Oryctolagus cuniculus: one gene and its partners. The protein of the gene in region 1 interacts with the protein of each later gene in a pairwise test. Links are inferred from orthologs where the notes say so. Each region holds a gene or a part of one and is shown in the gene's direction. Other genes may lie near its edges. The genes, in order: TPP2, EHHADH and PPP1R16A.

What was found.
Region 2: the proteins of TPP2 (region 1) and EHHADH interact in binary tests that used the Homo sapiens proteins (3 or more experiments, as listed by UniProt). The two-hybrid records come from large-scale screens. The link is inferred for Oryctolagus cuniculus from reciprocal best matches to the Homo sapiens genes TPP2 and EHHADH.
Region 3: the proteins of TPP2 (region 1) and PPP1R16A interact in binary tests that used the Homo sapiens proteins (3 or more experiments, as listed by UniProt). The two-hybrid records come from large-scale screens. The link is inferred for Oryctolagus cuniculus from reciprocal best matches to the Homo sapiens genes TPP2 and PPP1R16A.

The regions. Positions count from the first base shown.
Region 1 is NC_091440.1:10,086,890-10,091,069, reverse strand, and holds the start of TPP2 (tripeptidyl-peptidase 2), read left to right. Parts: upstream 1-1,342; 5' UTR 1,343-1,448; coding exon 1,449-1,613; intron 1,614-4,180. UniProt on the Homo sapiens protein: Cytosolic tripeptidyl-peptidase that releases N-terminal tripeptides from polypeptides and is a component of the proteolytic cascade acting downstream of the 26S proteasome in the ubiquitin-proteasome pathway.
Region 2 is NC_091435.1:94,913,540-94,917,661, reverse strand, and holds the start of EHHADH (peroxisomal bifunctional enzyme), read left to right. Parts: upstream 1-1,224; 5' UTR 1,225-1,316; coding exon 1,317-1,390; intron 1,391-4,122. UniProt on the Homo sapiens protein: Peroxisomal trifunctional enzyme possessing 2-enoyl-CoA hydratase, 3-hydroxyacyl-CoA dehydrogenase, and delta 3, delta 2-enoyl-CoA isomerase activities. Catalyzes two of the four reactions of the long chain fatty acids peroxisomal beta-oxidation pathway.
Region 3 is NC_091437.1:168,197,882-168,200,458, forward strand, and holds the end of PPP1R16A (protein phosphatase 1 regulatory subunit 16A), read left to right. Parts: intron 1-332; coding exon 333-436; intron 437-513; coding exon 514-638; intron 639-721; coding exon 722-847; intron 848-927; coding exon 928-1,003; intron 1,004-1,072; coding exon 1,073-1,202; intron 1,203-1,290; coding exon 1,291-1,441; intron 1,442-1,550; coding exon 1,551-1,940; 3' UTR 1,941-2,052; downstream 2,053-2,577. UniProt on the Homo sapiens protein: Inhibits protein phosphatase 1 activity toward phosphorylase, myosin light chain and myosin substrates.

The DNA.
Region 1 (4,180 bases):
ACACACACACGCACAGGTATCGCTGAGGACTCTCACAGACACAGACACACACACACACACACACAGGGGTATTGCTGAGGAGACTCTCACAGACACGGACACACACACACGCACAGGTATCACTGAGGAGACTCACAGACACACACACGTATCGCTGAGGACTCTCACGGACACACACACACACACACACGGGTATCACTGAGGAGACTCACAGACACACACACGCACAGGTATCGCTGAGGACTCTCACAGACACAGACACACACACACACACACACACAGGGGTATTGCTGAGGAGACTCTCACAGACACACACACGCACAGGTATCGCTGAGGACTCTCACAGACACAGACACACACACACACACACACACAGGGGTATTGCTGAGGAGACTCTCACAGACACGGACACACACACACGCACAGGTATCACTGAGGAGACTCACAGACACACACACGTATCGCTGAGGACTCTCACGGACACACACACACACACACACACGGGTATCACTGAGGAGACTCACAGACACACACACGCACAGGTATCGCTGAGGACTCTCACACACACACACACACGGGTATCGCTGAGGAGACTCACACAGACACACGCACAGGTATCGCTGAGGACTCTCACGGGGACACACACACACACACACACACACACACACACACACACACACACACACACACGGGTATCGCCGAGGAAACTGAAAGGGACGCGCCGCCCGGGACGGCTCCGTAACGGGGCGGGAAGCCGCCGGAACCACCCGGAACCTCACCTCGCTTCACCAACGGGTTCTCCCCAACGCCAGAAGCCGACGGTAAGCAGCGAGGTCAGGCGCGGCGCACTTCACTCTCGGGTCTCTCCCGGCCCCGAGAGCCCACAAACTCACTTCCTGCCGACGCCACGCACAGCCGCCCCCCGCCCGCCGCGTCCCAGCCCCGCAGCTCCGGATCTACGGCCTGGCCTTCCCACCTAGCGCCCGCGCCTTCCCCGCACCCCGCGGCTCCCCGGACTCGGCCAGCCTCAGCAACTCCTCTGCCTGGGGCACCCCACGCCCTCCAGGTCAGAAACCCCGCGGCTCCGGCCTCGCCCTCGCGGACGGTGTGTCCGTCCAGCACGCCCAGAGTTTTGACTCGCTCCCAAAACACCCCAAACGCGGGTTTCTGTAAAGGTTCGAGAACCGAACCCCCAGTTATGCTCTCAGACTCCGCCCCCTTCTCTGCAGCCCGGGCAACACTCGGGGCCGGCGCCTCCGAGCGGCGCCGTTGGTTGACGAAGCAGCACCTGATTGGCCGCCGCGCCCCCGCGAGCCGCGATTGGCCGAGGGCCGGCCGGCTCCTCCCCTCGCCCCCGCCTCCGGCCTGCGGCCACCCGTGTGTCCTCGCGCCGCTCGTCCGCGCGCAGCCTGGCAGTTTGCCTCTTCCTCGTCCTCCAGCCTTCGCCCATGGCCACCGCCGCGACCGAGGAGCCCTTCCCTTTCCACGGTCTCCTGCCAAAGAAAGAGACCGGGGCCGCCTCCTTCCTCTGCCGCTACCCGGAATATGACGGGCGCGGGGTGCTCATCGCGGTCCTGGACACGGGGGTCGACCCGGGGGCTCCGGGCATGCAGGTGAGTCAGCCCCGGAGGGCCCGGGCGCGGGCGGCCGGGGACGCCGGGGAGGACGCGGCCTCGGAGCCCGCTCAGGCCGGGGCCCCGCTCTGCGGCCGTGCCCAGGCCGGGGTGGGCAGCGCCGAGAGCCACCATGGCCCGCCCAGGGGACCCGGCTGCGCCCAGGTGTCGGGGGCGAGGGCCGTGGTGCCGCTGGCCAGACAAAAGCGGCGAGCCTGGCGTGGCTGGCGTGGGGAGCCCGGGTCCGCCTGGGCGCTGCCAGGCCGGACACCTCAGGGCGCCAGCCCCCCACCCCCGCGCCGTCGTCTCGGGCACCGGTCCCTGCCAGAATCTTGCAGGTTTTTTTTTTTTTTAATCCCGGATCTGGGGAATGGGGCAGAAGACCCTCCGAGAACTTGATTGCCATGGCTGTGATTTGGGGGATTGGGTTTTTTGGGGAAGAGGAGTTTGAACACGAGACCGGGTTTTCGAGACGATCGCTCGGCCCACTTCCGGAATTGTTTCTTGTGGTTGTGTGTATTCTATTTTTAAACAGTCTCCTGCAGTGTGTGTGTGTAGGGTCCTTGACTCTCCTGACTTTGCATTCGTTTTACGTAGGCATCCAGTTTAGTTTGTTTCGGGCGAACTTTTCGTACCTTTGGAAACGATTCTTGTGTGTGTGTGTGTGTTTAATCTGGAAACATAAGACAACGCGCTTTAATTACTACGGTTTTCAAAAATTACTTAGTTTTGCCTTACGCACCTCTAAGATTCGTAGATCAGGGTACCATGTACAAAGGTAATTTTAAAAATGTGTGTCTCTGTTAGAAGCATTCTGTTTTTAAAAGTTTAACTTTGATAAATTTAAGCTTTTGTTGAAATCCACTAGTAAACAACATTTTACTGGTGTTCAGAACTTACCTGCCCGAATCTTCCTCGACTAGTTCTGCTGTATTTTGATCTCTTGTGTTTACCAGTGTTTTCCTCTGTATCTTACTGCCCTTTCTACCATAAACAGTAACGTTTAATAAATCTCTTTCTCCTTACCCCTAATACACCCCTCCTCCGCATCATTTACAGTGCCTTCTGCTAATTGAGGTCGTATTATGGGGGCTTAGGAAAGTGGAAGCCAGTCTGGCCAACTTTGTATAGAAGCCCTCTAGGAATCTTGCTTCCTGGTTTTAGTTCTTCAACACCACGCTCTGGTGCGAGCACCCCACACCCAATGGCGGCCCTGCCAGGCAGCTTTGATGATGAGTTCCCTCCTGGCAACTGTAGTTTTTATAGTCATTGTTGTACTAATAACTCTTAAGACTTAAAACAGTGGCAGCTATCACCTCCTTGAGGCTTTATTACAGACTAGCAATGCCTTCCATTCTGCTGTGGCCTGTGTTTACATTTTATAGGGATAAGTGGGAGGAGAACAGCTGGGGTGTGCGGCTCACTGGTTCTGTTGTCAGGTTAATAAAAGAGTATCACAAAAATTTAGAGAAATACAGCTCAGTAGATATTTGTAGAATTTCCAGATCTGTTTATCAGGTTACTCTGTTACTCTGTCAAGTACCAGTGATTTTCATGCTGCGGTATTGTTATGAAAATTGATTGAGATTAATTACATGTGACTTTTTAAAATGCTTGAGAAAAGCATTAAATAAACAGTTTTTTTAAAAAGCAAGGATATTCAGTAGGAATTTATGCTGGCTCCTTAATCATCAACTCTCTGAAGGGTGAATGTGTTAGATATTTACGTGTAAAAACATGTAAGTATTGAAACAATAAAATGTTGAAGTCAAATGAAAGCATAACTCTTTGGATAGCTATTTTTAAAACGATTTATTTATTTATTTATTTGAAGGAGTTAGAGGGGGGAAAGAGACAGTAAAAGAGGAGAGAGAGTTTCCACCCACTGATTCATTCCCCATGTTATTCACAGCAGCCAAGGCTGGGCCTTCGGACAATTTTTTCTGAGATAGTGACCTGACTACCTCCAATTAAAAGAAATTCAGCAAGGTAGACTGAACTTATGAGCCTAAGTGACATCTTTCTTTTTTTCTTGTTTTGTTTTGTTTTTGAGAGGCAGAGAGAGCAGGCTCCCATTCACTAGTTCACTCCCCAAATGCCCAGACCAGAGCTGAGAGCTGGAAATTCAATCCAGGTCTCTGACATGACTGGCAGAAGCCCAAGTACTTAAACCATCACCACTGCCTCCCAGAGTCTGCATTGGTGGGAAGCTATAGTTGGGAGCCAAACCTGGGTACTCCAGTGTGGGCTTCAAGCTTCTTAACCACTAAGTTAAGTGCCCAATCCCTGAGTGACTTACTAAGGATTTTTGCCCTTTACAAAGTTATTTTGTAGTTTCATGTATACATCATTAACACATTATGTTCCTAGTTTTCAATTATGCAAATATTTCAACTAAATTGGCACAGGTGCAGAGTTACCATACATGGTATATTTACTGCTCAATTTTTTTTAAGTTGTCCTATTTATAGGACAGTGGGACATACTGAAATACAATAAGAAGGTAGATACAAATAAAAGGAAAGAAAGAATAAAATACAGGGAAGAGGAGGATGAACTGGCCATTT
Region 2 (4,122 bases), on another chromosome or scaffold:
CACATACACAAACACTCTGTTTACAACCGGGCATAGCCACGCACACACTCAAGTACACACATACACAGCACCCACACTCCATTTCAGTCATACACAGCCTCGTCACACGCACCTCTGTGCCCCCGACAGTCACGTCCCAGATAACGCACTTCACACACCCACACACTAGTACACACGCGGCCGCCCACAGCACCCTGCTCGGCCGACTTCCCCCTCAGCCAGCGGGCTGCAGCCCCCCAGGTTAGGGGGAAGGAGTGAGGGGTTAGGAAGCACGCGCGCAGCGGACGGGATCTGGCGACCGCGCTCCCCGGAGGCGCCGGGCGCGTGCGCGTGCGCGAGAGGCGCGCCTTTGGCCGAGGGAAGGGAGCGAACGAGGCGGCGGCGACAGGACCCGCTTGGGTTGCGGCGCTCCCGAAGCCGCCGCTCGCGGACTCCCGGCCCGGGCCCGTCCGCCCTCCCGCGTGTGCCGGCGCCTCGGTCCTGCCGGCCCAGACGCCGCTGGTCCCGGCTCCTACGCTGGGCTGCAACTGAGGAAATGAGGGTGGCGCGGGCGCCGGAGCGGGGCTGGAAGAGCGAGAAAGTGAGCAGAGCGCCCGCCGATTCCAAATTACACTCTGGGCACTTGAATGGAGGAGACCGAGAGACCGAGCCCGTTTAGGAAACCTTGTACCGGCCTGAGATGGGAGGGCAGGGGCTGGGCCTTGTTCAGGTTGAGCCACCTGCAGAGGTCCCGCACGTCCCAGGGGCTCAGCTGATGGGCGGATGGAAGATGCATCAGAAGAAAGGAGAGAGGATGGGCAGACGAACTGGTGGACCTCACGGGGCTCCGTGATTGTAAGACAAGTGTCGCTCCTTGGTGGATGTTAGCACCACCTGGTTTAGGCGGAACGCCTGATGTGTGTAGTATGTGTGTTCTGGGTGTGCAGCACGCCCCGTACTCGGCGGGGCACCACACGCGTGTTCCTGAGTAGTGTGACGAGGACAGCTGGCCCCATTCCCTGAAACCAGAACTCGTCCCAGGCAGCCAGCCCCTAGGGGCCGGGGGTTGCAGACCCTGCCTTGCGGACGACTCCGCGGTTTACGGCTGCCGGTCGCCCTCGTGGACGCGCTTGGTGGCGGGAGCCCCACGGCAGCCGAGACCGAAGGAGACCGGAGTTTGCGACGCGGGCGGTGGAGCCAGGGGCGGCGGCGGGGTGGCGCCCGGCGCGCATTGGCCCAGCGGGCGCTCCTCCTCGCGGGGCGGGCCTCGGCGCCCGGAAAAGTGGCGTCTCCCTGCAGCGAGAGGCAGCGGTGGTGGCTTAGGTGACAGAGGAAACATGGCTGAGTATTTACGGCTGCCCAACTCCCTGGCGCTGATCCGCCTCCGAAACCCTCCTGTCAACGCCATCAGGTAACGGACAGTGTTCCTGCCGCCTGGGCTTTCACTCTTCCCCTGCTGACTTGAAACTCAGAGAGACCCTGACCGAGGCCGCGCGGCTGCTGTGTGCCAGGGTCTTTGCCCAGGTTAGCTTGGCTCGTCTCTGCGAACTCTCCTCCGGGGTACTGGCAGGCATTGGAGGCTTAGAGACGCAGACGCAAGGCTGCCAAGTGAGTGCTGGGTCTGTGCGTGCCGACTGCCTGCCGAACCCTCCTGCTTATTTGTAGCTTTGGCTTCTACGGTGGACTTTCTCTTCCAAAGGTCTCGGACTTAATACAAAGGTGGACCTTGATCCAGCCTCACCTCCCTAACACAGAATCCAGGCTGCCCTTCCAGCGTGTGCCTAAAAGCTTTAAGAATCAGACAAGAAAATGGTTTAATATTTTTGAAAAATAAAGTAAAATCCCCATAAATGTCAATGCAACGCGTAAAGGAGAATTCTGTTAGTCCAGGGATTCAGGATTTTTACTGGGAAGTTCCTTGTCAGAGTAAGCCTACGAAATAGCATTTTCTCTCTCTCTCTCTCTTTCTCTCTCTCTTTTTTTTTTTTTTTTTTTTTTTTGACAGGCAGAGTGGACAGTGAGAGAGAGAGACAGAAAGGTCTTCCTTTGCCGTTGGTTCACCCTCCAATGGCCGCTCTGGCCGGCGCACCGCGCTGATCCGAAGCCAGGAGCCAGGTGCTTCTCCTGGTCTCCCATGGGGTGCAGGGCCCAAGCACTTGGACCATCCTCCACTGCACTCCCTGGCCACAGCAGAGAGCTGGCCTGGAAGAGGGGCAACCGGGACAGAATCTGGCGCCCCAACCGGGACTAGAACCCAGTGTGCAGGCGCCGCTAAGCAGAGGATTGGCCTATTGAGCCGCGGTGCCGGCTGCATTTTCTTAAAAATTGTGCGGTTTATCTTCTTTTATTTCATTGTGGGATACCTTCTTTGTAATGCACTTAGCATTACTTTTAAATTTTATTTATTCACTTGAGAGAGAGAGTGCACGCTCTCATTGTCTAGTTCACTTCCCAAATTCCTGCAATAGCGCCACCATAGGAAGCCAGAAGCTTCAGGTCCCAATCCAGGTCTCCTGCATGGGTGACAGCAGCTCCGTTGCCTGTGCCATCACCTGCTGCCTCCCAGGGTGTGCATTAGCAGGAAGCTGGAATCAGGAGCTGAGAATCAAACCCAGGAACTCCAGGGACATGGACATCTTAATCTCTAGGCTAAACACCCAGTCCCTAAAGCTTTATTTTTTAAAAGTGAGATTGGGGCCAGCATTGTGCCATAGCTGGTAAGGCTGCCGCTGGCAATGCTGGCATCCCATAAAGGTGCCAGTTCGAGTCCCAGCTGTTCCTGGCTCCTGGCTTCAGCAGTCCAGCCTTGGCTATTGCAGCCATTTGGAGGAGGGAACCAGCAAATGGAAGATCTCTCTGTCTTTCTCTCTCTCTAAAATCTGCCTTTCAAATAAACAAATCTTTAGAACAATAAATAAATAAAAGTGAGATCAGTGCTGCCTTTTTGAAACTTAATGAAGCTCACTTGGTTTCATGCTTATATGTCTCTGTAAAAAGTGTGGTTATACATAAGCCTTGGAAAGAGCCACCCATCCACGGAGGGTAGGATTAGTAAAATTATTATTTACATAGAATACTTAAAACATAGACAGAAAAATCTTTGGTCAAAACTCTAATCACATGCTGCTGGAGCAAAAATAAACTAAAAGGAGGAGACCTGCTAGTTTTAACTAAATCTTTAATCCTATCATCAGGTTTAATTTTATCATTACTATTAATATTATAGCTCTTATTTTAATATGAATTATAGCATTTAATAGTACAACAGGAATAAAATCACACAAGATGGTATGTCCACTTACTATTCCCAGAAAAAAAGCAAAGTTCTGTTCATTGGTTCTGAAAAGGGAAAACACAAGAAATGTGCTGACGCATCACTGTGGACTTGCCTGAAACACTCAGTGGCAGCATCCTGGTGCAGCCTCTGCTCAGCAAGACTTCAGGGACACGGTTTCCGGAGTGCAGCACTATAACTAGCAGTGCGTTCTGCTCTTGGATCTGCTCACCTCCTCCACCCCCTGCAGGAGTATTGTCGCTAACTCCCTCATAAAGCTGCAGGGAGGTTACACCGAGCAACACCTCCCTCCCTCTCCTGCCTGCCCCTCCTGAGCTGCTGTGTAATGGTGGTGTACATCCTAGCAAGGTCATCGAGTTTGACAGGTTCCCTGATCTGGTAAAAATATTTTATTTATTTACTTTCTTTTTTTTTATTTTTTATTTTTTTGACAGGCAGAGTGGACAGTGAGAGAGAGAGACAGAGAGAAAGGTCTTCCTTTGCCGTTCGTTCACCCTCCAATGGCTGCTGCGGCCGGTGCGCTGCGGCCGGCGCACGCGCTGATCCGATGGCAGGAGCCAGGTACTTCTCCTGGTCTCCCATGGGGTGCAGGGCCCAAGCACTTGGGCCATCCTCCACTGCACTCCCTGGCCACAGCAGAGAGCTGGCCTGGAAGAGGGGCAACCGGGACAGAATCTGGCGCCCCGACCGGGACTAGAACCCGGCGTGCCGGCGCCGCAAGGCAGAGGATTAGCCTAGTGAGCCGTGGCGCCGGCCTTACTTTCTACTTTTATTTTCCTCTTCCCTTCCTTTCTTTTCCCCTTCCTATTTTCAGTTTTATACAATCCCTTCCAAACTCACTAAGAGAA
Region 3 (2,577 bases), on another chromosome or scaffold:
GGGGAGGGGTGCACCAGGTGCTCGTCAGGCAGTGCTGGCTCTGCCCCCCATGCACACGGGCCTTCCAGCAGAACCAGGGCCCGCTCCCCAACAGCTTTGTAGTCCGGTGTCTTGACTCCTGCACCCCTCAGCAGGTGGGCCACGTCCCCTGCTTCTGGGGACCTGGAGCCCAGGTGGAGACTGCAGGGTGGGCTGTGTGGCTTCGCGCCAGGGTGGGTGCAGGCAGAGGGGAGCCGGAGATCTCCAGAGGCAGCCCTCCCCTGGGCCTGGGGGAGGGGCCTGGTTTTGTGGACGAGGGTCCCAGGACCAGCAGCCGCTCCGTCCCCCTGCAGTGGCGCCGATCTCCTGGCCGTCAACGCGGATGGGAACATGCCCTACGACCTGTGCGAAGACGAGCGGACGCTGGACTGCCTGGAGACTGCCATGGCCAGCCGTGGTGGGTGCACGTGGTGGTCCCCGTGCCTGGGGACGGGGGGTCCTGGGGACGCCCCCTCTGAGCCTGATGCCCCACAGGCATCACCCAGGAGGGCATTGAGGAGGCCCGGGCGGTGCCGGAGCTGCGGGTGCTGGAGGACATTCGGAGCTTGCTGCGGGCTGGGGCCAGCCTCGATGGGCCTGTGGACCATGGGGCCACGCTGGTGAGGACCCAGCCGCCTGAGTGGGGGTGGGGTGGGGGGGCCTGCCGGAGGGGCCAGGACTCAGCACTGGGTCTTGCCTGTAGCTGCACGTCGCGGCCGCCAACGGGTTCAGCGAGGCAGCCGCTCTGCTGTTGGAGCATGGAGCCAGCCTGCACGCCCAGGACCGCGACGGCTGGGAGCCACTGCACGCCGCGGCCTACTGGGGCCAGGTGGGTGCTGCGGCTGGGGGCGGGGGGCGGGGGGCACGCCCTGCTGCAGACCCCTCAGCAGCCCGGCTGGTGGCCCACAGGTGCACCTGGTGGAGCTGCTTGTGGCGCACGGGGCCGACCTGAATGCGAAGTCCCTGCTGGATGAGACGCCCCTGGGTGAGCTGGGGCTGCCTGTACCTGGCAGGGGGACGGGCGGGCTCCCGTGACACCGTGCCTTCTCCGCAGACGTGTGCGGCGACGAGGAGGTGCGGGCCAAGCTGCTGGAGCTGAAGCACAAGCACGACGCCCTCCTGCGCTCCCAGGGCCGCCAGCGCTCCCTGCTGCGCCGGCGCACGTCCAGCGCAGGCAGCCGCGGGTGAGTGTGTGGGCTGCCGGCCGGCAGGCAGGGCCCGGCAGGGGCTCAGGCCGAGTAACCCTCCCTTCCCCTGCCCTCCTGCGAGCAGGAAGGTGGTGAGGAGGGTGAGCCTCACGCAGCGCACCGACATGTACCGCAAGGAGCACGCGCAAGAGGCCGTGGTGTGGCAGCAGCCGGCGCCGCCGCAGGACGACGAGGACCGCCGGGCGGACGCTGAGCTCCAGCCAGCGCCCTTGGAGGTGAGCGTCCCCCGGGCAGGCCCGGCAGACGGCCTGGGCTGCGGCCTGACGGCAGGGGCCCTGCCACCCCCAGCGAAGGCCTCTCCTGACAGCTCGGCCCCGCCCACAGGACAACCCCGAGGTGCTCCGGCCACACAACGGCCGAGTAGGGGGCTCTCCAGGGGGCCACCTGTACTCCAAGCGGCTGGACCGGAGCGTCTCCTACCAGCTCAGCCCTCTGGAGAACAGCACGCCGGAGGCCCCGGCCCGGGACAAGGCCCACCACACCCTGGCAGAGCTGAAGCGCCAGCGAGCGGCCGCCAAGCTACAGCGTCCTCCAGCCGCCGGGCCCGAGGCCCCGGAGGCCCCGGAGCCCCCGGAGCACAGCCCGCCTGCTGACACTGAGAGCCCCCACCCCGACTGTGGCGTCGGGGCCTGCGGGGACCCGCCCCTGCTCAGGCTCACCGCCCCCTTGGAGGAGGCCCCTGTGGAGAAGAGGCCGTGCTGCCTGCTCATGTGAGGGCTGCCTGCCCTGGCTGCCGGCGCCCGGGACGGACCTGGCCAGCCATGCCCAGGGCTTCTGGCTGCAGAGACTATGCTGGGATTCTGATAAAGGGCTGCTTGGCCACGGAGCCTTGTTGTGTGTCTCACCTGGGCCACCGTCCCCACAGTGGGAGCAGGTGTGCTGCTCAGCTGGGCACGCCCGTCCCAACGAGCTCGGGAAGCCTGTGGGTGCGTGCCGGGGCCCGCACGTGGCAGTCCCGGCGCTCTGGGAGGGGCCCACAGCCCTGTGCAGGAAGCCTCAGTGCTCCCCTCCTGAGTCCTGCCTTCCGGAAGGAGCAGGGCGCTTTGGGGGGCCACTCCTTGGGGACCAAGGCTGAGGGTGGCCGTGCCAGGGGGCGGAGACCCCAGCCTGGAAGGGGAGGTGGTTTTCCCAGGACTGCTGGGCCCGAGCCAGAGGGGCAGAGCAGGCACAAGGCTGGCATTGCACACTTCCCTGGGGGAGGGGGCGGGTCCGTCGTCGCTGGCGTGTCGCCCTGATCCTGGCTGCCAGCTTCCGCCTGGGGTGGGACAGGGGACAGGCAGTTGGCCACTTGGGCTCCAAGCTGGCTGGGCACAGTGTGCCAGAGTGAGAGGGGCCCCTAAGGGGTCTCAAG